Drosophila melanogaster: one gene and its partners. The protein of the gene in region 1 purifies or fractionates together with the protein of each later gene. This does not show direct contact. Each region holds a gene or a part of one and is shown in the gene's direction. Other genes may lie near its edges.

Region 1 (8,308 bases):
ATATGCAAACTGGATTTGGGGCTAAAGCTTTGCTACAGTTCATGTAAACTCTTAGTATCTAAGAACTATCACCGTGGAGTAGAATGGGAGTAGACTTGGAGTTGGGCCAATGCTGTGCACATCCCAGCTAGCGTTCACTACCGCACCGTCTTGCGGTAGGTGGCGTCCATCAGGCGGTCAACCATGCTGTCAATGGGATGGATGATAAGCGGTATGCTGGCCAGACCCACCAGGGTGGGCACCGTCTTTAGCACGGGCATAGGCGCTTTGCTCAGCAGTGTTTTGGTGGCCCAGGTGATCCTAAAACGATATAAATGAGCATTGCTTATTATGTGAACATAAACTCATAAAAATGGGTATGATCTTGGAGAGAACGATGACTTCATCGTGTATCTACAAATATACAATAAACCTGTTTTTGCAACATTGCACATGCCATTCTACTACGTATATGCACTCTATAGTATAATTTTTACTATGCTTATATAAGATAAGTATTATGCAACTAATGGAAAAAGGGAATCTTTAAGACGCCTCATTCCCTACTTCCAACTATGTAAATACAACCATTAAGTCTACGTTTTTGGGCAATTTTCTGGCAAGGGTTGAACGCACCGATTGATGACCAGGCCGGGAATGGCGACGGAGGCCAGCATCTGCCAGCAGAAGACGTCGCCGCCCTTGACGGCCACTTCTCTGGAGGAAGCGCCCTCCATTTGGAGGCGCAGTGCCTTGTCAAAAGTGTCCGTGCAGACGTATCCGATGGCCATGCCGTAGGATGCGGCCACCAGAGACTTGGGCACCAGCGGGCGGAAGGACTCGCCAATCTCGTTGCTGTAGCCTGCAAAGCCGTAACAATTAAACTCATATATTTCGATGGATCTGGGCAGATTCTGCTTGGGAGGAACACTCACCCATATAGCGAATGAAGGTGTCCCGGTAGATGTCCACCTCCTTCAAAGACGTGGAAGTTTTCTTGGTGCCCTTATCCCGGCGGATGAACTGTTTGTCCTCCGACATTGTCTATTTTTTTTATTTTTATTTTTTATTTTTGGAATGGCAGAAGTTCTAATGCTATTTTGATTTTCGAGTAATTGGGTAATATGACAAGATGATCTGATCTTCTCCAACTGACGCAAAATCAGCTGGCAACTGAGTTTCCTAAAAATTCATTGAAATCGCTTAAAATATCGCTTTAAATAAAATAATTAAAGCGCCTAACTGCCTATAAATTGGAGACTTAAAAACAAACTGTTTATATAAATATTTTAATTGCGCGTATCGATAATGTATTATTGTTATCGATTGTCAGAGCTAGTGGAAAAAACGCTAAAATCAGCTATTTATGGCGATTAAAATTTATAGGAATTTATAGCAATTATGAAATATCATATATTAGTTTTTATATTGTATTCGTTTTTTAATGAGCTAAGTCCATTTAATATCGCTTGCTATACACTTAATCATATAACATATGAGTTCCGAACTCTTTTAAGTTAAATAAAGTAATGTGAACAAATTGTCATATTGTCACATATGTGAATTTATTAGAGCTGGATTTTTGGCTACACTTTCAAAAACCGCGCCAAGTAATTTCACCTTTCCATGTGTGACCATTGCAGCTGCACCGCAATCTAAGGCCCAGCCCGCGCTGTGGTCACACTGACAAATAAAAAAAAACAAGACGTCGTCATTCGCGTTGGAATTCCAACAAAATAGTTAAGTTTTCCTTTTGTTTAACACCTGTCGAGTTAGCCAGCGAGTTAGTCAGTGACGCTTGCCGGAATTCCAGGAGCAAGTCAGCCAGCATAAATGTGAGTAATGGTCGGAACTGACCCGCCATCCCCTCCGCAGCCGCCCCGCAAAAAGTTGGCTACTTGTGTTTTTGTCAATGCCGCTGTATTCGGGCATTAGTCATGCCCAGAAATTCGATTTTGCTCGCGAACTGCGTCACCGAAGGACACTGAGTAGCAAGATGGGAGTTACTACTCCGCCAAGGATCAATTGGGTAACCATCGTCATCGGCCTGGCCAGCGAAACTCACGCCGAGATGATAGATTCCCAAGGGGAGGGGGGCTATTACAGCCCGAAATATATCAAAATTCTATGGAATCATTATGCTCGGGAAGTTTGGCATTACAATATGAGTTATAGAATCGTTTTGGATAGTGAGTGTAAAGCAATCAAAGGATATAAACAAAGCTGGGATCAGATCCAGTTGATTTTGCATAAATCGATATTGTAACTATATTTTTAGAACCTGTTTAATAACTTTATTTTGAACTTTATTCTATACATTATGCTCCATATTGCACAAATCGATTTGCCCACATATTTGTGGCATCTTTAGTTCTCTGTGTAGTAAAGTTGTAGGCTTTAAAATATGACAACTTAACTCTAAGCTGAGCAGAAATGATTAGAAAGCGGAAATTAAGATGATAAAATCCATAAGTAGTCCACGTTAAGCCTTGGTGGATAGTTCCTCCCATCAAAATGCCAGTTGAAATAATGATGTGTGAACGTTTGTAACTTCCAGCACCATGGCAGCCGGTACCACACTACAGAAGGCCATCGATCTGGTGACCAAGGCCACCGAGGAGGATCGAAATAAGAACTACGCGGAGGCACTGCGTCTGTATGAGCACGGGGTGGAGTACTTCCTGCACACCATCAAATGTAAGCAGTCCCATTAGTGCATCTAAAATGCACTTATACTCACTGAATAGAAGCAAGCTGACTACTAACTATCAAATTACTATCTAACGAGCAGATGAGGCACAGGGCGAGAAGGCCAAGGACTCGATACGGGCCAAGTGCCTGCAGTATTTGGACCGGGCCGAGAAGCTAAAGGAGTACCTGAAGAAGGGCAAAAAGAAACCGATCAAGGAGGGTGGTGAGTCCAGCGCCAAGGACGACAAGGACAAAAAGAGCGACAGCGATGACGAGGACGGCGACGATCCCGAGAAGAAGAAGCTGCAGAGCAAGCTGGAGGACGCCATTGTCATAGAGAAGCCAAAGGTTCAGTGGTCCGATGTCGCTGGCCTGGATGCCGCCAAGGAGGCGCTGAAGGAGGCCGTTATCCTGCCGATTAAATTCCCGCAGCTCTTCACTGGCAAGCGGATTCCGTGGAAGGGCATCCTGCTGTTCGGCCCGCCCGGTACCGGTAAATCCTATCTGGCCAAGGCCGTCGCCACCGAGGCCAATCGCTCCACATTCTTCTCGGTGTCCAGTTCGGATCTGATGTCCAAGTGGCTGGGCGAGTCCGAGAAGCTGGTCAAGAATCTCTTCGAACTGGCCCGCCAGCACAAGCCCTCCATTATCTTCATTGACGAGATCGATTCGATGTGCTCGGCGAGATCGGACAACGAGAACGACAGCGTGCGACGCATCAAGACCGAGTTTCTGGTGCAGATGCAGGGCGTGGGCAATGACACCGATGGCATTCTCGTTCTCGGCGCCACAAACATACCGTGGGTCCTCGACTCGGCCATTCGCCGTCGATTCGAGAAGCGCATCTACATTCCGCTGCCGGAGGCGCATGCCCGCCTCGTCATGTTCAAGATCCATCTGGGCAACACCACGCACGTGCTCACCGAGCAGGATCTCAAGGAGTTGGCCGGCAAAACCGAGGGGTAAATGCACTTTATAAACTATTTGCTTCACTATCACACAAAATTGATCCATTGTTTATAATGTTTATATGTAAGCATATTTAACTAAGTGAATGATTTTCCGTTTTGCAGCTACTCTGGCGCGGATATATCAATCGTTGTGCGCGATGCGCTGATGGAACCCGTGAGGAAAGTGCAGACCGCCACGCATTTCAAGCGGGTATCCGGTCCGAGTCCCACCAACCACGAGGAGATTGTCAACGATTTGCTGGTTCCGTGCTCACCTGGCGACCAGGGCGCCGTCGAGATGAACTGGATGGATGTGCCCAGCGACAAGCTCTTCGAACCGCCCGTGACCATGGTACGGCATCCTTAGCTATCAACCTTTTTTCGCAGTGCCAATAATCTTTCTTGAACTTCTACATCCAGCGCGACATGCTGAAGTCCTTGTCCCGCACGAAACCGACCGTCAACGAAGACGATCTGAAGAAGCTGCGCAAATTCACAGAGGACTTTGGGCAGGAGGGCTAGACACGAACCCCGCCAGATATCGTCAGCACCACCAGCTAATTCTAATTGTTGCCTATTGCATAAATTCAAACACGTTTTACTTCTGGCTCTCCTTAAACATTTTTTTTATTTTATATATATATATAATGTATACATACGATATATGGTTAAAATTTAATTCAAATTTGTCGTTCGATTGCAACCGGAGATGAAGGACATGCAGTGAGCGTGAAGCGGGTGGATCTGTGGATTGTTGTAATCACAAAGTCAATGTATTTTTGTACTCTTAATGTTAAGCGACGGAAGAAACCCGATATCCAGCCTGAAGTTTGAAACCTAATGTAATATGAGTGTCCGCCGCGCTTGCGCAATATTTGCCACTCGGACTTGCCACGGACACCTCAGATCAGAGCAGCACCAATCAGCGGAGGAGCTGGAGCTAGAGCTGTAGAAGCAGAAGGAGAAGAAGGAGCAGAAGCAGGAGCAGTTTGCGGAGTTTAAGCGCAGTCGAGCAAACCTATTTAACTTGTAACGTACCAGAAATAAAAACGAAAATTGTATACCATGTATGACGACGTAGCGGGAATGCCAATTGCCAGTGGAATCGTCGCGGGGATTCCCCGCCGCCGCAAGTGACCCCATTTCAAAGTGAGCCACCAGGTGGGTGGGTGGCCGGTGGACGGAATGGAGAAACTGAGCGCCGAGAGTATCAGCGGCAGAATGCGAGAGTCTCAGCCGTCTGGCCCACATGCCAAGTGCGATAAGATCTTTCCAGCTCACCAGCATATGTGCGCTTGTTCCTGGCCGATCGACCAGATATCGAGCATACTGCGAGCTGCGCACAGTGGGCAATGACCTATTTGTATGGAGCAAACTAAAAGAAACCTACTGATGCCATAGTTGAAATATTTTTATAACACAAAAATTGCATTTCTCTGTTGCTGCTCTTCCTTTGCATTGGTTCTTTATATATATATATTTTTTTTTAAATATTTTTCCCTTTTCCCTAGTTTTAAGCATTTAAGTCCATCGAAAATAAATGCTATAAAAATGAAAATATCTTTATTTTATAGCGTTGCTTTAAGTAGATTGATTTGTAATATTTGAGACATTTTGAATGTAGTTTTTTAGTATGAATTATTATGTTATTTCCTATTGTAAGCTTTTTGCCCATCAGCTCCACTGTGCGCTGCCGAATGCTGCCGAGCAGTGATTGTGCTCTTCGGCTCTTCGACTTCGCCTTCGGATCGCTGGGTTTTCGCGTTCGGTTCGTGAGTTTTGAGCCGTGCTTTGAGCCAGAGTTTCAGTTGATCTTCGGCCGCAAAGGCTAGAGGTTTGAATATTGTGGGATCGGTCCGCTATAGGTTTTTCGCTATATTTCGCCCGCACATCGGCAGTTCCGTTACGTGAGTGCAGCGCCGTCGTCTGCGCTGCATGAGGCCAAAGATACAAGCCGAAAAGATACAGATACACGGCGACAACGTTTCTCGGTTGGTTTTGCGCAACTTTGTGAAAAGCGTGATAGAGCCCAGATACGAAAAAAAAGTGCGTATTTGTTGTGATTTGTTTTTGTTTGCGTTTGGCGTGCAAGTGACATTTGTTTTTCCAAGGTGCATTAATTACCTGGCTCAGGGGCCTGGCCCTTACCTTACACACCTTATTTTAGCTCTTTTTTTTAAAGTGCGGTCTGTGGTGCACAAAGGAAAATATTCATTATTTATCACGATATAAAATAATGTCCTGCTTATTCAATAAGTATCAGCATTTTTTAAATGTTTTTTTTTTAATAAGAATTAATTTTTACGTTGGCTTATAACTTTGTGGATTTTGTATCGTAAATCGTTTTGCAGCATGGTTTTCATTAAATAAAGTGTTACTAAAATGTAGCATTCCTATCTTCTGTGTTGTATGTTGCTTTAAGCTTCTAAATCAGTAATATTTTAATATTTAATTAGTATTAATATATTTACATAAATTTGAGATACTGCAAGTAGCGTAGATGCTGATGCTAGTAGCATTTAGTGGATTTAAAGGAGCGCTGTTGGAAGGGTCAACCAAAGTGGGCAGGCGTTTCTCGCAGTGCACATGGGCTGCTGCTGCTGCTGCTGCCCCGACGAAGCGCAACTTTCACGCGCTTCAGGTGAAAACCGTGAGCCGGGTCTCAAATGAGCGAAATGAAGAAGAAGTCGAGTTAAAGCCGCACAGCAGCCGAACTCTCATGATTTGTTGTTGTTTTCGGTGTTGTTATTATTGGTAAGGTTGATGCTGTTGTTGCCGATGTGACTCTGTTTTTTCCCCCACATTCGCATTGTTTTAACCATTTGTTTCTTGGTTTTTTTTTTTTTTTTGCGTGCTTCACTTTGTGTTTTCGGCTACTGTTTTTTGTGTCAGTCGCCGTTTTGCGAAACTATTTCAGAAATGCATATTTCTTGCGGCTCAAATGTGTGTGTCCAACTGACTGAGTTATGCGCACGAAGAGCCTTTCATCATCATTGTGGCCACTAGCAGTTTTCTTCCAGTGTTCCACTGCTTGCACTTCTCGCACTGCACTGCTTGCATCCAGTTTGTTTGGTTTTTCTTTTGGCCACCAGGTGCATATTATGCATTATTCGATTAAACTTGTTTGCAGACGCACTGACATCAACACCTGACCTCCCCCCGCCCCCAGCCCCTTGTGGATCAGAAAAAAACTTTAAATCATGCTGACATTGACACGAATTGTCGCCGCCAGCAACAACTGAAAAAAAAAACTCCAAGAGCCAACAAACAAAAGTCAAATCATACAATTTAAAGTTGAGTTCCAAGCAAAACTGCCAACTTAAAATTTATGACTAAGATCTGTGGTGCGCGCTCCAAAATTAAAGTGCATAAAATTCCATCAATGCCACTGCTGGCCAACAGCAATGAATTATATTAATTTGGCTTACAAATTTGTATTTGGTCAAGTCAGTGGCACATTGCACCGCAAGAAAATTGTGCACATAAAGGGGTAGTTTCGATTTTAATCATATGCCATTTTGCTTCACTAACTGATGTTTTATTATGCAAATTTAGCTAAGTGGCTTTTATCACATTGATCTTGCAGGCAGTTGATACAGTTGCAGTTGCAACAAAGTTTCAACTCAAATTATATCGAAAACAAATGGAAAGGGCTAAAAACAATTAAGGAATATACTGCAACTATTTCTTTCCGTGTCTTCATTTGAAATTGCATTTGAAGTCGAAGCAAACGGATCGAAGACCCAGCGAACAATCAACTCCATTTGATTGTCGGTTGTTGATTGGATCGATTAGCCCGAGGAACAAGGTCGTTTACCACGCATATTATTAAATGCAAATGGGCATTATGTCTGCTAAACGCTGGAAAATTTCCTCGAGTGATTCAAGCATAATTTTGTTGGATAATAGCTGCGTTAAGTGTATTTACATCAATTTCGGCCTTAAGCTTCAATACTCCTGTTGTTATATTGCACATTTTACTTGCCTTACTACCAAAAGTTCACAGCAATGAAAAGCATAATTGCCTGGAAAGGAGACCATAAAAAAGCAGCGCAAGCAAATTAAATTTCTTTTGTTCTTGACAAAGCGGAGCGTGGCAAACAATTAAAACAGAATAATTATATTTAATATCGTGTGTTAATTGTGGCTGTCATTACGATGGTCGTGTGAGTGGAAAGCCAAAGATAAGTCAGAGTTCTGGATTTTCCGTCTGAGATTCTGGGAAAGATCTGCACAGAGATACTGGGTTTTAGATGCATGCGAGTTTAGGTTTAGGTTTCCTAATATATTCCCTCATAATTTCTATGTTGCAAACGTGCCTTAGACACTCTATATATATTTTCTTAATTAAGCTAAATTTGATTTTGTATGTATGTAGTATATATATACCTGACCCTTTTTCTCGTCTAGTGAATAAATTCTGGCGGTTCTCTCTGCTTTTCATTGCTCTTTTCATCTCATTGTCGTTGGGTAACTGGGCCAGAAAGTCTTTCATAAGACTAGAAATGATATGGCAGTGCCTGATTAGGTCAACACGTTCCATGAACCATAACTGGTAACTTGATGCTGTCGCCGGGAAATGACAAAAGAGTTAGCACTGGTATTCGGGTACGGAGCATACTGTGTTCCCGAAAACTGTGTCACCCGGGTACAATGTACACGGGGAAGCCAAGTCCATTGCATGCATG
Region 2 (6,353 bases), on another chromosome or scaffold:
AAAAGTATCTGGAAGATACTTCAGCGATTGCAAGCAGAAGCACGTGGGCTCGGCCGCCCAGTATGACGATGATGCCCAATTCCTATGGGCGGAAAGTGAAAAGTGGACGGGAATTAATATATGAGCAACTTTATGACTCTTTTAACTCTTACCCTGTATTGTTGAAATACATTTAATAGAATAAGCTAAATGAGCTAGATGTTCTGTTCAACTTTTGTAAAAACATTACAAACATTTTAAAAACATTTGGCTGGAAGTCTTGGAACCAGTTATCTGAGTAATCTTAAATAAACTGATTTAGTAATTGCATTTTTTAAATAAACATTTAGTTAACGTTGCCTTGGCGTCACTAGAATCTGAACTATTTAGCAATATATGATTTCGGTTTAAGTCATGAGCTGTCATAGAAGCAGGTGAAAAACTAATCGAAAATAATAGAATATAAATAAGAATAATAATAATAGAATAATATGGTATTATAAGATTAGGTATTAATTAAATTAGACTTGCAGATAGTTATTTAGCTTATCATGCATTTGCTCGACTTGCAATGAGGTTTTTATAAACTAGAAGCAAAAAGCTCTCAGCAAACCCCAAACATATTTCGTTCTCTCGCAGTTTCGAATCAAACTCATCGTGAGTAAGCGTTTTGTGGCTTTCGTGTATTTTGGAGCAGATAGCGTACATTTCGTATAAAAGGCAGTTCCAAACGGACGGGCAAACATTCATTGACAGAACCAGCAAGTGAAACGAACACAAACGGCGGCAAGATCTATACTGTATCCAAACAAAATGGGCTGCCTTACTAATTGCTTGTGCTGCCCCCTCATTTTTGGCCGTCCATTATCGGACTGGCTGCCTACTTGCTAAGGTATTTGCATGGAATAGTTCTACTGCTGAGTAATGATTAATACGCTCGTGAATTGCGGCCTGTGTTGAAATAGAGTGATAAGAATTAATGAATTTCAGAAAATACATGCAGGGCGGTCAGTTCACCAAGCAGACCGATGAGACCGGCAAGGTGTTCATTGTCACCGGTGCCAACACGGGCATTGGCAAGGAGACGGTCCTGGAGATTGCCAAGCGAGGAGGCACTGTGTACATGGCATGCCGGGATATGAACCGGTGCGAGAAGGCGCGCCAGGATATTATCAGGGAGACAAATAACCAGAACATATTCTCTCGAGAACTGGACTTGAGTTCGCTGGAATCCATTCGCAAATTCGCTGCTGGGTAAACGCAAACATGATAGATCGACGAATGCGTTACTGATTTCCCTCGTTTATTAGATTCAAGAAAGAGCAGGATAAGCTTCATGTCCTGATAAACAATGCAGGAGTTATGCACTGTCCCAGAACACTGACCAAGGATGGCTTCGAAATGCAGTTGGGAGTCAACCATATGGGACACTTCCTGCTCACCCACTTGCTGCTGGACGTATTGAAGGTATTTTGGGTACTCAGGACTTTCTTAGCACCTTGTTAACCAAACTCCCTGCTTAATCTCACTAGAAAACTGCACCCAGTCGCATCGTGAACGTTTCCAGCCTGGTGCACACCCAAGGTTTCATTAAAACTGCCGACCTAAACAGTGAAAAGTCGTACAGCAGAATCGGTGCCTATAGTCAGAGCAAGCTGGCCAACGTCCTGTTCACCCGGGAATTGGCCAAGCGCCTGGAGGGAACGGGGGTCACAACCAACTCCCTACATCCCGGTGCCGTGGACACGGAGCTGTCGAGGAATTGGAAGTTCCTGAAACACCCCTTTGCACAGTAAGATAGAAGACATAAGTGGGCACTACTTGAGTTTGATATTAACACTCGTATCGCTTAGGCTACTGCTCAAGCCCCTCCTGTGGGTACTCTTCAAAACCCCTCGCAATGGAGCGCAGACCACTCTCTACGCAGCCCTGGATCCTGCACTAAAGGATGTTTCCGGGCTCTACTTTAGCGACTGCCAGCCAAAGGAAGTGTCCGCAGCTGCCCAGGACGACAAGACTGGAAAGTTCCTCTGGGCGGAGAGCGAGAAGTGGACCGGCGTGAATTCAACCAAAGTTGATTAAGCAACCATTAGTTTATCCCTCGCCATTTCATAATTTATTATTTTAATAGCTTATCATAATGAAGACTAACGCAAAATGTAATAATTTATGTTTGAATTGTAGAATTCTTACGGATTCTACAAGCTGAAAATAAAGAAATGCTCCCAAAAAAGCTTTACCTAATCTAAAATTTGTATTTTGAGATCAACATTGTTGCATTTCTGTGTTCAGTACTAAAGAAAAATGGTCAAATTCTTTTGTTTTTTTTGTAAAAGTGATGGAATCAATTTGGATGATTCATGCTTTATTTTTGTACCCGTTATTCCTGGAGTAGGAGGGTATACTAAATTAGTTGGAAAGTATGTATGTAACATAACGAATCAGTTAGTTCCCTATATCTCGACGTTCAAACGGACGGATATGGCTGGATGGATCGTTTTGACTAGTGTTGCTGATCAAGTCTAAATATAAACTTTATTCTATATGTTACATACTGTTCAGCGAACCTATTATACCCTTTTACTCCACGCGTAATATACCCATTGAGTAAATATAAACATCAATGGAATTGCTTTTATTTGTTTGAATGCTTTCCACTATCATAACATATTATTGAGAATTCGTTTTCTCTTGACCTTCGTTAAGAATCTCTCTCCCGACGTTCTCCATTTCGTCAGGTTCTCACTCCGAATTAGCGATAATATATGTTTGTGTGGGGTAGCTGTGCTCAGTAATATATTAACAGCTGTGCTGTTCGTACCAGAACGCACTCAACGATTGAAATAAGATCTGACAACACCCTAAATACAAGGAATTGTACAAAGATATTCAAAATGTGCATTTTCATCGATTGCTTATTGAGCCCCTTGATTATGTGGCCAGCTACTATCGGCGTGGGCATCTACTTCTTGAAGTGAGTTGCGGTAATTATTTCGTGTAATTATGAAATATACCAGTGTGACTACGCATCCATGACTCGCTACTATGATTCCCCCGGGTAATAGATAACAGCTTTTCAGGTAATTCCTATTGATAATTCCAGGGAGTACATGCAAGGTGGAAAGTTTACGAAGGACACCGATGAGACCGGAAAGGTATTCATTGTGACCGGTGCCAACACGGGCATTGGCAAGGAGACGGCTCTGGAGATAGCCAGACGTGGGGGAACTGTGTACTTGGCTTGCAGGGATATGAACCGATGTGAAAAGGCCCGCAAGGATATCATCAAGGAGACAAATAACCAGAATATATTCTCTCGAGAGCTGGACCTAAGTTCCCTAGACTCCATTCGCAAATTTGTTGATGGGTAAGCTTACCTCCAGAGAATTTTCTTGTCTCTGTAAGATTTAAAAACCTATCCTATCAATCAGCTTCAAGAAGGAGCAACCCAAGCTTCACGTCCTGATCAACAATGCCGGCGTGATGCGTTGTCCCAAGACCCTAACCAAGGATGGCTACGAACTGCAGCTGGGAGTAAATCATATTGGTCACTTTTTGTTGACTAACTTGCTGCTCGACGTACTGAAGGCAAGTGTGCTATATAATAGTCAAGTGCGTCAGATAATGGTCTTACAAAATTTCAGAACTCGGCTCCCAGTCGCATTGTCGTTGTGTCCAGTCTGGCACATGCGCGTGGCTCCATTAACGTAGCCGACCTCAACAGCGAGAAGTCGTATGATGAGGGCCTAGCCTACAGCCAGAGCAAGTTGGCCAACGTCCTGTTCACCCGGGAATTGGCCAAGCGTTTGGAGGGCAGCGGAGTCACAGTAAATGCCCTTCACCCTGGTGTGGTGGACACTGAGCTGGCGCGGAACTGGGCCTTCTTCCAGACAAACCTTGTGAAGTAAGTGATGAATAAGTGAATTAGGACCTTCCCAGTAATACCTGTTAACCTTCCTAGGTTCTTTTTAAAGCCAATGATTTGGCCGCTTTTAAAGACACCGAAGAGTGGAGCTCAGACCTCGATTTACGCTGCTTTGGATCCGGAGCTTAAGAACATCTCTGGCCTGTACTTCAGTGACTGCAAACCAAAGCCTGTGGCTTCTGGTGCCTTGGACGATAAGGTTGCCAAGTTCCTGTGGGCCGAGAGCGAGAAGTGGACCGGATTAGATAAGCTGGAAGCTAATAACTAAAGAAGAACGAATAGTGTTAGAACAAGCCTTTTATTATACTTGAATACTAGCTGCTGTTTCACGAACGGATTAATAAATAAATACATATTTCTCTAGCTTTCATAAAGCATATTTCATATTTCGCATAAGTCGATTAGTACGCCTGTTGGCTAATAAGTTTCCAGTTTAGTTGGCTTTCTGCTCAGTTGCTCCCGCCGTGATAAACACCCTGGAGTGGAGCACATGGGTTGTGGGTTCCCTCTTCTCTTGCGCATTGTTTACGGTGTTGACGTATGTGTACTGCATATAGAAGCCCAGAACGACGTCTGCTAATCCGGACAGCTCCTCTGCTGGGGTAAACTGTAGCCGCAAAAGCACCTTGTTGCCCTTCCGCCAGACAATAAACTTGGGCTCCTCGGTGGACAGTTGCACGTCCTCGTCGAACTCTTTCGAGTCATCGCGCTGGTTCAGAACGAACTCGCTCTCCAACGGAACTATTTCGGCATTGGATATATCAATCACATCTCGTTTTACCTCCCGTGTTGAGTTTTGACGCGACAGTGTGATGCCCACTGCTTTTAGAAGTGGGGACGAAGAAATGGGTTCCTCTTTCGCAACACGAGTGGCCTCTGTTGACAGCTGTGGATCCTCAGGAGGAGATGCAGTCAACAGTCGAATTGTCATATCGTATATAGTCGGATTCGTGAGCTTCAGCAAAATGGCGTTGCTTTTTCCTGCCACCAGTGGCTGCTCGCAGCGCACCATCACCACTTCAGGAACATGGTAGCTGGCGAAGTGCTGAATGCGGTACTTTATCGATGTGGGATGGTACTCCGGTTTGATTAGATTGTGCTCGCACTGGCGGCAACGAAGCGACCGCTTAATCCACAGGGACCTGCGCTGAGGATAAAGACTCCCAACGGCCGTGGGCTGGTCCGCCGGCTGGCTATGTCGCTGGGTGATGGTTGTCACATTCCGCAAGTTCAAGGGTTCCGTGAAAATGTTCTCCGGCAGGCCCTCCACCTCCGCCGTGGCCTCTGCCGGCGTTATCACGGCTTTAGCCTTGGGAGCCTTGTCGTTCCAGCCGATTTGGCGGCGAATAAGTGAGACGGTTAGTCCAGTGCGATCCGTCAGACTGGGAAACTTGTGCTGCTTGGGTGCCTTGCGCCGCATGAACTCCAGTTTCTCCTGCTTCTCCTGCAGCACCACCGCCTGGAAGTACTCGACCAGAGCATTAAATCGCGCCTGGTACAAGCACTCGTTATCCGGCCAGGTGCCCGTGGCCACGCCTTGGTCGGGAATGCCCACATCTCGCGTGGTCCATCGGCAGGACAAGCACGACAAATAGTACATCTTTTTTGTGGTGGGCACCGCAGAGGGCTTGCTGCTCGCCGGGACTGGGGGCGTGGCTTCGCCCTTGGAGTCGCCATCCTTTGGTTCCTTCGCCTCCTCCGACTTGCGCACCACCGGAACGGTAGATGCTCTGGCGGAAAGGGTGTGCTGGCAGCAAGGACAGTCGAAGCAGTTCGCACAACAGTTCTTCTTGTGGCGCGCCTCTGTGGAGGGAATGTTTTCCAGGCAGTTGGAGCAGAAGTGCGACTCGATCTCATGCGTCACGCAGAAGCCACAGCGCAGCTTGGGGCAGTGGCGGCAGAAGAACAGCGTGTTGATCGGGTTCAGTATGCCGCAGGAGCACGCGTACTTAACGGGACTCGGTTGCATGAAGCTCATCTTGACGACGCTAGTTTTCTCCTGGTTTCTTAGTAAATTTGCAAATTTGTCCTCTTCTTGCAGTAATGACGACAGCTGTTATATCGATAAGTCGATGACTCGATTATATGTAGTCATCTATGGGCGTACCAATGCTGGGCAGCACTGGTGAATTGGCGGTTATGAATTTATGAAATTGATTAGTACTTTTTATATCCTAGAGTGAATGGTTATAAAGTACATTACCCACTAACCAGAAGTGGATCGTCCAAGGTACTCTGTTTATCCCGCTCATTTTTTAAAAATTACTAATCCATAATACATAAAAGTAGAACAATTTTAAAAAATATCTGATCTATGGAGTATGCATCACGGTATTTCGAAGTAATTAATATAAATATTTGTGTTTATTATTAGATTATCTTCTATTTGAAATTGTGTCAATGTTCGGAATGGTAAGCATTGTCCACCCTCATAAATATAGATCTATAC
Region 3 (9,056 bases), on another chromosome or scaffold:
ATCTTTGTCAATTTGTGCTCATATTAAGTAAGTTATCCCATTGATTATTTGCGGAACTAGCTAACGTTTCTTTGTGGTTAAACAATTGGGCATCAATTATGACATGCTGATGGCCCTTGAATTCTAATGTTAAACGAACCATTTCGTTAAACACTTACAAGGGACAAACGCTGAAGTGGCCGATACATTTCGGACACTTCTGAAGGAGACCCGGGAACGCATTTGGATTCAGGGACATGAAGTACACCCTTACGGCTTCTACGATCTCACAAGTGTGATCCGCAATAACCGAAAGTTGCACGTCCTCGAAGTTCCGTAAAATGTACAACAAAATGCGGTAAAGAACGGATTCCGTTGATATAAAGAACTTTAGCACCGAGGTGAGGTCTTCCAGCATGGTGTCCATGAAGGCTCTGGTCAATAGCATTATATGGTCAAAGACTTTTGGATCAAGCTTATTGGCCATGATGTTGATTAGGCTCTCAAAACTTTCAGCATTGATCACGTGCTCAAATATGATTTTTCCGTATTTCTCCAGTACGAAAACAACACCGCCCACCAACACAGAGCTTAGCTCCAAGGCGAACACGCCGGCGGCATAGGTACTGGGTTCCTGTCGAGGATGGGATGTGGGCAGCGGTCCGATTAGACGGGAAACCTGATTAACGCCGCCCAGTTGAAGGCGACCAGAACCCGCATGGCTACCGGGAATGGGCTGACTAACTTTGCCTAGGACATTCCCTCCTTGGTTATGTTGTACACTAGCTCGCAATTCCGCACCCGTCGTCTGCACATCGCCATTTAGTAAAAATCCTTTGCCATCGGGTGCGAATGAGTATCGCACGCCCTCCTGATTCAAGTTTTTGTTGATCTTAAAAAGATCATTAAACTCTTGTGGCGAAATTTCGTTTACGTTGCGTATAATGTCCAGTTTGCCGCGAGTGTTGCCTTGCATCCGAACGGTCTCCTTGGCAGCCTTGTCAAAGGTTCGCCTGATGGTAAAAAAAATACAAGTAGAAACTCTTGTTTACGACAGAATGTATCTCATTGAACGTTTTTTACCGCTGCCTATTAGAAAGGTTTTTACGATAGTCGGCAATATTAGCATTGCTTGTCTCATTAATTATGGTCGAAGCCAATTTAAAGTTGTAGACGCTGTGCGTGAGCAGCACCAACGAAGCGGACAATTGCAAAACATCCATCGCAACTATTTCGTCACCGTCTTTTGCTTTCTGTGGAAGATCATAAATTTCATAAGTTTAATCTATCTAGCCTAATCTAATCACAGTCTAAGTTTCGAGACTTGCCAATATCAGATCCAGCACACCATTGGCAACTCCAGTGCCCGATACCACAATCGAGGATATGTTCATGCTATTCACAGTCAGTTGGGTGATCTATGTGAGTACATATTTAACATTTTTATTCCATTGTTGATTGCGTGGGGGGGGGGGTTTAAGGACTCACCGCTCCCACCTCGCGTCCAGCATTTGTGGCCGTTGTCAAGACTGTGGTGGCCCCAGCCGCTGCCAATCCCACAGTGCCACCAGCCACGCCCAACCAGTGACCACGCGCTTCGCGGTCCGTCACATTGATAGACTGCTCATGTTGGCTGCGATCGAATAGCTTGCTGCCAGACCGCGATGCGGCGTATCCAGCACTGGCCAAACCTACTACTCCCGCTGCGCCCATCAGCGGAGCGGATACGGGCAGCGTTAGCAGGGCAGCAATGGGCACACAGGCAGCAAAAAATCCTCCGACTGCCGACCCAGTATCCAGGTAGCCCAGCACCTTCCTGTTGGTCGTGCCCGCCGGCGTTGTGTACTTATCCAGACGTACTTGATCCCTGACCAAGCGGTAAATACCCTTCTCTGGGGCCACCATCACTCCGGCAGGCAACTCGTTGGTGGTCACATACATCTCCCAGTTTTGGTAGACCCGACCAAGCTCGTCGATAAACAGATTGCAGCAATTCGAGCTGACGCTGCTGGTGCCACTACTGCCAACTGAGTATTAAATGGATCCATTGATAGATAGATAGGAAATATATTGTAAATTGCATACGTATGCAAAGGATGACTCACCGACGCATCGACGGGCCCGAAAGACTGGGTGCACGCTGAAGACTCTGGCGTCCTCGGCGCGATTGACGTCCGTTTCGTCAGTTACCACCATTACGTAAATGATCGCCGTCAGCGATTGACGGTTGGTATACTTTCCTGGAAAACAATTGTACGCAGTTAAGGCAGCGAAAAAATGTACTATACTATATACAATCTGTAAGTCCAACTCACGTTGCTGCCAAACGGAATCGAAAATGATCTGACGGGCGCGCTCATTATCTGCGTTGACCTTCAGCCGGATTTTTCTGTCTTTTTCAGTTTCCGTTGCAGTTTTCGGTTCCGGAGAATCACGAATCAATTGACAGAGTTTGCCCCTTAGCACGTCATGTTGTTCATGGGACAACCTGTAAGGGGTTACGTCATTACCCCAAATACTTTGAATTCAAAATTCTAATGCGCAGTAGCAGTACTTACAGATCCCAGATTATCTCTTCCGCGTAGCCGAGCGACTCGGCAAAGTTTTGCTGCACTTCACGTGCGGTGCGGGTAACTTCATGGTTTCCTAATCTATTCGCCATCCCTAAGTTGTCACCTTTCCGTTGCCACAGTTGTGCTGCTAATGGAGTTGTGCCACGGAATCACCAGCTTTTAAGTTAAGGCGCACACTAATTGAACGATCGTACTCGAAATACCGAAAAGGCAAGACGGCAGAAAAGCTCTCTAGGGATCATACCTTTATATGAATACCCCGTATTCCACCGTCACCTTCTTTGGTGAGCAAAATTTAAAAAGCTGCTAGCGTGCTAAACCCAAAATGTAACGAGACGATGAGCTCATGCTAATCAGATATTTGCTTTGTATTTCTAGCGAGCACATATTATATTATAAAAAAAAAAAATATATATATATATATATATAGGCAAATCCATTTAAAAATATACATTTACATTGAAAACTTGCTGACAAAAGTTTTGCTTGCAAACATTTTTAGTACTTGGTGACCTAAAAAATCAGATTCTAAACTTAGTACTGCCAGCTTTGGCAACCCTAAACTATGAATGCTGCCTCCCGCCTATCGATAGCCGTGCAATCGAACCGGCTCCGCTCCAGCTACGCCTATCGGTTCCAGCACGAGCCAAACAACCCTACGTGTCAGTCTCATGCGTCGGTGTAAATACAGAGTTTTTTAAGTTCGCGGCGTGCCAATCTCGCGATATCTTGCAGCAGCAGCAGCAACAACACCAGCTCCTGCCCCATTCGAATCTCGCAGATCGCCGCGTGTCGATCGAGAATCCACGGGGCGCAGCGATTGTAGCGATAACTCCAACGCGACAGCAACATCAGCTGGATCTGCCGGAGGAAAAGTGCAGGGGAAAGCGGCGGCAGAGAAAGGAACGGAACGGAACGGAGCCAAAAGGCAGTGCCAGACAAAATACAAAATACATATAGTCGCTGTCGGAGATGGCGGGTCAAAAGTTTCAGTATGATGAGAGCGGCGGAACGTTCTACTACTTTGTGTTATCGTTCTTGGCGCTAATATTGATACCGACCACCATTTACTATTGGCCACGTAAAAAGAAACAAGGTAAGTGCCGCTTGCCAGCCGATTTAAATCGCACTCTCTCCGCTCTTGTTTTTTAATTTTCCACCTGCAGCTGTGCGCGTGTGTATGTGTGTAAGTGAGTGCCAGTAAGGCGAAGGCATAGACATACATGTGATTACCACGCTCTCCTGCTCTAACCCTCCCGCCGCCACCAACAAACTAAATGGACACGTTCCAATAAGTTATTCTAACAACGTCAGCTCATCGTCTTCGTATGGGTGAAAGCTGCGCTGCGATTACCGCAAGTCGAGCTCTCTTCGTTTTCCAATTGGGACAGCGCACTCAACGCTCCACAAGCGTCCATGCGTCGCTAATATCGTGATAACTTACCTATCATCGTGATCGGTGGAGGAGGAGTGATTATGAGCAAGTTACCTTTGACTTATCGCGATCATGCTGTGCTTGTGCACTTTGCACACACGCTCACTGACCAATCGGCTGCTCTCTCACGATTTTCCTCTCGCGAGATTTTCATTTCTGTAGCGCTGGCATTCCCGGTAAAAAAAAAAATGCAATATGCGTAGACAGACCTCAACTAATTTTAATCGTAATCAGGTTAGCAGGTACCTGTAAAGATCGTTTTTTTTTTAAATCATTTTATTAGCCATCTTAAGTGAAAATGATAAATTTCAAATATTTTAAAATAGCCTATATAATCCCCGTACTGACCCAATTTTCGTACACATACTTGCAGATAACAGCAAACTTAAAGAGGAATGTCAGTGCGCCGACTGCCAGAAAAAGAAGACCATCTTGGCCAATGCCGAGCCGTACAGAGCTCTCACGTCATGGACCATCAAGCTGACCATAGTGCTGGGGTGGGCCCTACTGCTCTTCCTCACGTACCGCGTCTCGCAGTTCGACTACGAGATGGCCAGCTTCGATCCCTTCGAGATCCTGAATGTGCCGCCGACGTCGTCGCAGGCCGAGATCAAGAAGGCCTACTACCGGCTGTCCAAGGTGCTCCATCCCGACAAGGAGACGGGTGACGAGAAGTCCTTCATGATGCTGAGCAAAGCGTACCAGGCGCTGACCGACGATGTGGCAAAGGAGAACTACGAGAAGTATGGTAATCCGGATGGACCGGGTGCCATGTCCTTTGGCATCGCCCTGCCCTCGTGGATTGTGGAGAAGGAGAATAGCGTTTGGGTTTTGGGTCTGTACGGCCTGGTCTTCATGGTGGCCATGCCCTCGGCAGTGGGTGTTTGGTGGTACCGCTCCATCCGCTTCAGTGGCGACAAAGTGCTGCTCGATACCACTCAGATGTACTTTTACTTCATCCACAAGACACCGCACATGCTGCTCAAGCGGGCACTTATGGTTCTGGCAGCCAGTTTGGAGTTTGACAAGCGACACAACTCGCAGGTCCAGGAGCGGCAGTCGGACAATGACGAGGTGCCGGCGGTGAGTGCATTTTATTGGAATTTCCATTCGTTGTTCGCTCACTAATAACACTTCCTTTTCGAATACAGCTGATTAGACAGCTGCCCAATCTGAATGAGAAGTGCAAGGAGCATCCGCTGTGCCGCATGTACTCCATCAAGGCTCGCGCCATCCTGCATGCCCATCTCAGTCGCATGCCCCTCAATCCGGAAACTCTGGAGCGCGATCGCCAGTTTGTGGTGAAGAAGTGCCCGTATTTGGTGCAAGAAATGGTCTCCTGCGTTCACCAGCTGGTCATGATGGCCTATGCCCGACGTGTGCCCCGCCTGCCCAGCATCGAAACGATTGAGAACTGCATGAAAATGTCGCCGATGATTATCCAAGGCCTGTGGGAGTTCAAATCGCCACTGCTGCAGCTGCCCCATCTCACCGAGGACCATCTGTACTTTATGAACAAGAAGAGGCACGTCAAGAACCTGCAGCAATTCGCCCAGCTCAAGCCGGAGGAGAGCCGTCAGCTTCTGAAGAACCTATCTGACTTTGAGTACGAGAACACGATGAAAGTGCTGGGCAAGATGCCGCTGATTGACTTCTCCATTCGCTGCGAGGTTATCGACGATGAGAACACCAATGTGGTGACCGCCGGGGCCATAGTTACGGTCACGGTTACGCTGGAGCGCAAGGACATGAAGACGCTATTCGGTGACACAAAGGCGCCTGAGAAGCAGGGCATCAAGGATGAGACCAATGAGGAGGCTGCCGGTGATGAGGATGAGGCTGCTGCCGCTGCGCCGGTCAAGAAGGCTTCTGCCTGGGCCAAGCCACGTAAGGGTGGCAAGGGAAAGGGTGGTAAGAAACCAGCCCAGAACCAAAAGAACCAGAAGAAGGTGCCGGCCAAGGCTGCGACAACAGCTACGATCACGGCATCCGAGGATCAAGCGGCGGCGGGTAACTCCGATGCCGAATCGGAGGCTGGAAATGCGGATGGCAGCGATGTGGAATCGGCTGCCGGCAGTGGCAGCGAGGATGAGGAGAAGGGCAAGAACAACTCCTCGCTGGACGACGACGATGACGAGGAGTGGGAGCGACTGCAAGCTAAGCTTAACAAGAGGGAGCGTCTCGAGGGCAAGTCTCGGCTGTCGCACACCGTCCACTGCCCCTACTTCCCCGAGGAGAAGCAGGAGTACTGGTGGACCTACATATGCGATCGCAAGTCGCGCACCCTGCTCACAGCGCCCTATCATGTGACCAATCTGGTCGAGAAGGAGGAGATCCAGCTGAAGTTTACCGCGCCGCGCTGGCCGGGCGTCTACACGTTCACCGTTTGCCTGAGATCGGGTGAGTTTCTAAAAGAGTTTGGATTGCATAGTACATTGGCATTCGAAGGGGGGATTCTCACACAATGTTTCCTCTGTTTCAGACTCGTATTTGGGTATGGATCAGCAGCAGGAGCTGAAGTTGGATGTACAGAAGGCTCCCGCACCACCGACGGATCATCCTCAGTGGGATCTGAGCGAATCGGAACCGGAGCACACCGATCAGCAGGAGAACCTGAGCGACTATACAACAGATACGTCCGATGAGGAGGACGGCGAATAAATCCACTGTCTACATGGACAGTGCGACGGACGGACGGACGGATGGATAGACGTCCTGAACCCCAATCAACCTCAACCTCCTCTCTAATTCACTGGGACGGAAGAGAAGCCTCTTTGTTTTCCTTTTAGTAAATGAGTTTCGCGTGGCGCGTGGCGGAGGCACACCAATGCGAACCCTTCCTTCGCATTTTTACTAGTTTTGTAATGGAAAAGACCCCGAACTAGTGCGTAAATAACTATAACTTCATTTTACCGTGTACTGTACTAAACATAATTATAATGTACTGTATATTTAATTATTTGGATACAAGAACTAAAAGTGAGACACGTAAATACAAAAGTCTATTGATATTACTACTCTTTTGTTGTGTTATAAACTGAGAAAGAAAAACCCACGGGCTTGTTGCTACTTTCGCTCACTTTAATGCTGAATTAACATAAATTTACTGCACAATTTGCTGAATTTCTAGATTAACATTTTATTCAATTAAATAAATAGCATCACAATTACTTTAATTTAAACCATTCAAGTTATTGACCACGCCTAAACCTTAGCAATTTTTAAGTTTTTTTTTTTATTACATTTTTGCTAAGCCTTTGGATAAACTAATTGCTTACAGCTTTTAGAATTTGAATATATTTTAGCGCAAAAGTAAATTAATTTTGTAATAAATAAAAAACGGTTGTATCATTGTTAGAGTATCGACACATAAAATAATAAATCAGCAAAAACAAGTGAGAATTGCAACAAGCCCGAATAGTTTGTGGAAATCATAAAAATAATTTAAATCAAAGTTGGCGCTGCCTCTGTCTGCGCTGACGTCGACGCCTACTGCGCAGCCGCTGCCCGCTCGCTGTCCAATAAGAGATCCGATTGGGAATCTGAAGTCTTCTTAGCTGATGCTGCTGTTGTTGTTGTGGTCGCTGGTAACTTCTTTCATTGTTGTTGTAGACAGCAGCGAGTTTTTTGTTGTTTGTTTTGGGAAAGGAGTAAAAATTGTAAATAAGTCACATAAAGGCCTAAACTAGGGTTCATTACCCGTCACCAGACTCGTTATTAGTGGGTTCTTGTTTCTATTTACAAAACATTTTTGGTATTATTTGGCTAAATGTGCGTTTTTTTATGTGCGTGTGTGTGTATGTGTGCGTTTTGTGCATTGGTGTTTGTGATGCGGATGTCAGTGCGTTTTTTGTTGTCGTTCAATCGATTTTCTTTTACTCTTCTTCGCTTTCTTCGGAAGAGGAATTCTCGCCATCCGGTTTGCTTTCTTCATTTTCGGGCGTGTCTTCTGTCTTCGTTTCTGCAGGTTTTTCCTCGTCGATTGGTTCTTCCTCTTTGGTTTCCTCTACAGATCTTTCGGCAGTCATAACTTCTTCGGGCTTTTCTTGAGCCTCATTTTCATTAGGATTTTCTTTAATATCTTCAAATTTTTCGTTTTCCGTACTTACAACCTCGGATATTTCAGTACTACCAACTTCCTCGACCTTTTTGTTGGTCTCATTTTCTTCGAATTCATCTTTCACATCCTCCGATTCTACAACCTCATCATCTTCGGTACTTTTAACCTCTGATTTGGTAGCACTATCCGAGTCCGCGGACTCTTCTGTTGCATTTTCCTCGGTCTTTTCTTCAACATCCTCGTCTTTATCATTCTCATTGACTTTGGTGCCTTTGGTGTCATTTTCCTCCGTTTTTTCCTTGGAGCTTTCGGCCTCTGATTCTTCAACGGCATCAACTTCCTCGGACTTTTCTTGCGTCTCGTTTTTCTCCGATTTTGTATCCCCATCATCATTGGTGGCCTCAACATCTGGTTTCTCAGTAGTGTCAGCATCCTCCGATGTTTCTGCGGTCTCCTCACTTCCCTCTAATTTATCTTTAACATCCTCGGATTTTTCAGTTTTATCATCCTTAACATCCTGGGAGTTTTCCTTATCATCTTTTACAATCTCGGATTTTTCATCCTCATCATCTTTAACATCCTCGGATTTTCCAACCTCATCATCTTTGGTACTCTCAACCTCTGATTTTTCCTTGGTATCCACTTCCTCAGACTTTTCTTGGGTCTCACCTTCAGCGTCTTTACGGGGTAGAAATTTTGATTAGAGTCTAGGGACGATCTTCCTACTTTACCTGTAGTTTTCTCCTCCGTTTTCTTGTCCCCAGATTCTTCGGTTTCAGTCTTTTTGTGGGTGGTGGGATTAGGGGTGCGAATGTTTTGTGGGTTGTTGATTGGTGGTTTTTCGTTTTTTTTTTTTTTTTGGGGGGGGGGGGGGTAAAGTGGAAGTTGTATTTACAAGATCAGACAATCGCTAGGCTACTACAGTGCAAGAGATCATGCCTTTGTTAGCTCCTATAAGCTCTAAAAGCCTAGAGTTATGGTTCGGTCATGCAGGATCTATCGATCTATT

What was found. The genes of interacting proteins can lie anywhere in the genome.
Region 2: the proteins of Vps4 (region 1) and Rdh1 purify together in Drosophila melanogaster (affinity purification with mass spectrometry, with the first as the bait; one large-scale study listed by BioGRID). This does not show direct contact.
Region 3: the proteins of Vps4 (region 1) and Sec63 purify together in Drosophila melanogaster (affinity purification with mass spectrometry, with the first as the bait; one large-scale study listed by BioGRID). This does not show direct contact.

What each region holds. Positions count from the first base shown.
Region 1 is NC_004354.4:17,906,038-17,914,345, forward strand, and holds Vps4 (vacuolar protein sorting 4), read left to right. Parts: upstream 1-1,654; 5' UTR 1,655-1,814; intron 1,815-2,536; 5' UTR 2,537-2,540; coding exon 2,541-2,676; intron 2,677-2,770; coding exon 2,771-3,632; intron 3,633-3,743; coding exon 3,744-3,972; intron 3,973-4,040; coding exon 4,041-4,142; 3' UTR 4,143-5,060; downstream 5,061-8,308. Other genes in the region: CG7772 (uncharacterized protein), read right to left, coding at 138-300, 616-841, 915-1,020.
Region 2 is NT_033778.4:7,663,064-7,669,416, forward strand, and holds Rdh1 (retinol dehydrogenase 1), read left to right. Parts: upstream 1-2,764; 5' UTR 2,765-2,873; coding exon 2,874-2,953; intron 2,954-3,082; coding exon 3,083-3,346; intron 3,347-3,410; coding exon 3,411-3,567; intron 3,568-3,623; coding exon 3,624-3,883; intron 3,884-3,940; coding exon 3,941-4,172; 3' UTR 4,173-4,280; downstream 4,281-6,353. Other genes in the region: CG2070 (uncharacterized protein), read left to right, coding at 1-124; CG2065 (uncharacterized protein), read left to right, coding at 977-1,233, 1,290-1,446, 1,512-1,771, 1,833-2,061; DCTN4-p62 (dynactin 4, p62 subunit), read right to left, coding at 4,338-5,882.
Region 3 is NT_037436.4:7,357,384-7,366,439, forward strand, and holds Sec63 (secretory 63), read left to right. Parts: upstream 1-3,177; 5' UTR 3,178-3,524; coding exon 3,525-3,648; intron 3,649-4,255; exon of another isoform or gene 4,256-4,360; coding exon 4,361-5,070; exon of another isoform or gene 5,071-5,138; coding exon 5,139-6,387; intron 6,388-6,469; coding exon 6,470-6,648; 3' UTR 6,649-6,983; downstream 6,984-9,056. Other genes in the region: pst (pastrel), read right to left, coding at 155-992, 1,063-1,232, 1,308-1,397, 1,468-2,006, 2,085-2,467, 2,538-2,641; Sh3beta, read right to left, coding at 7,863-8,725, 8,779-8,827.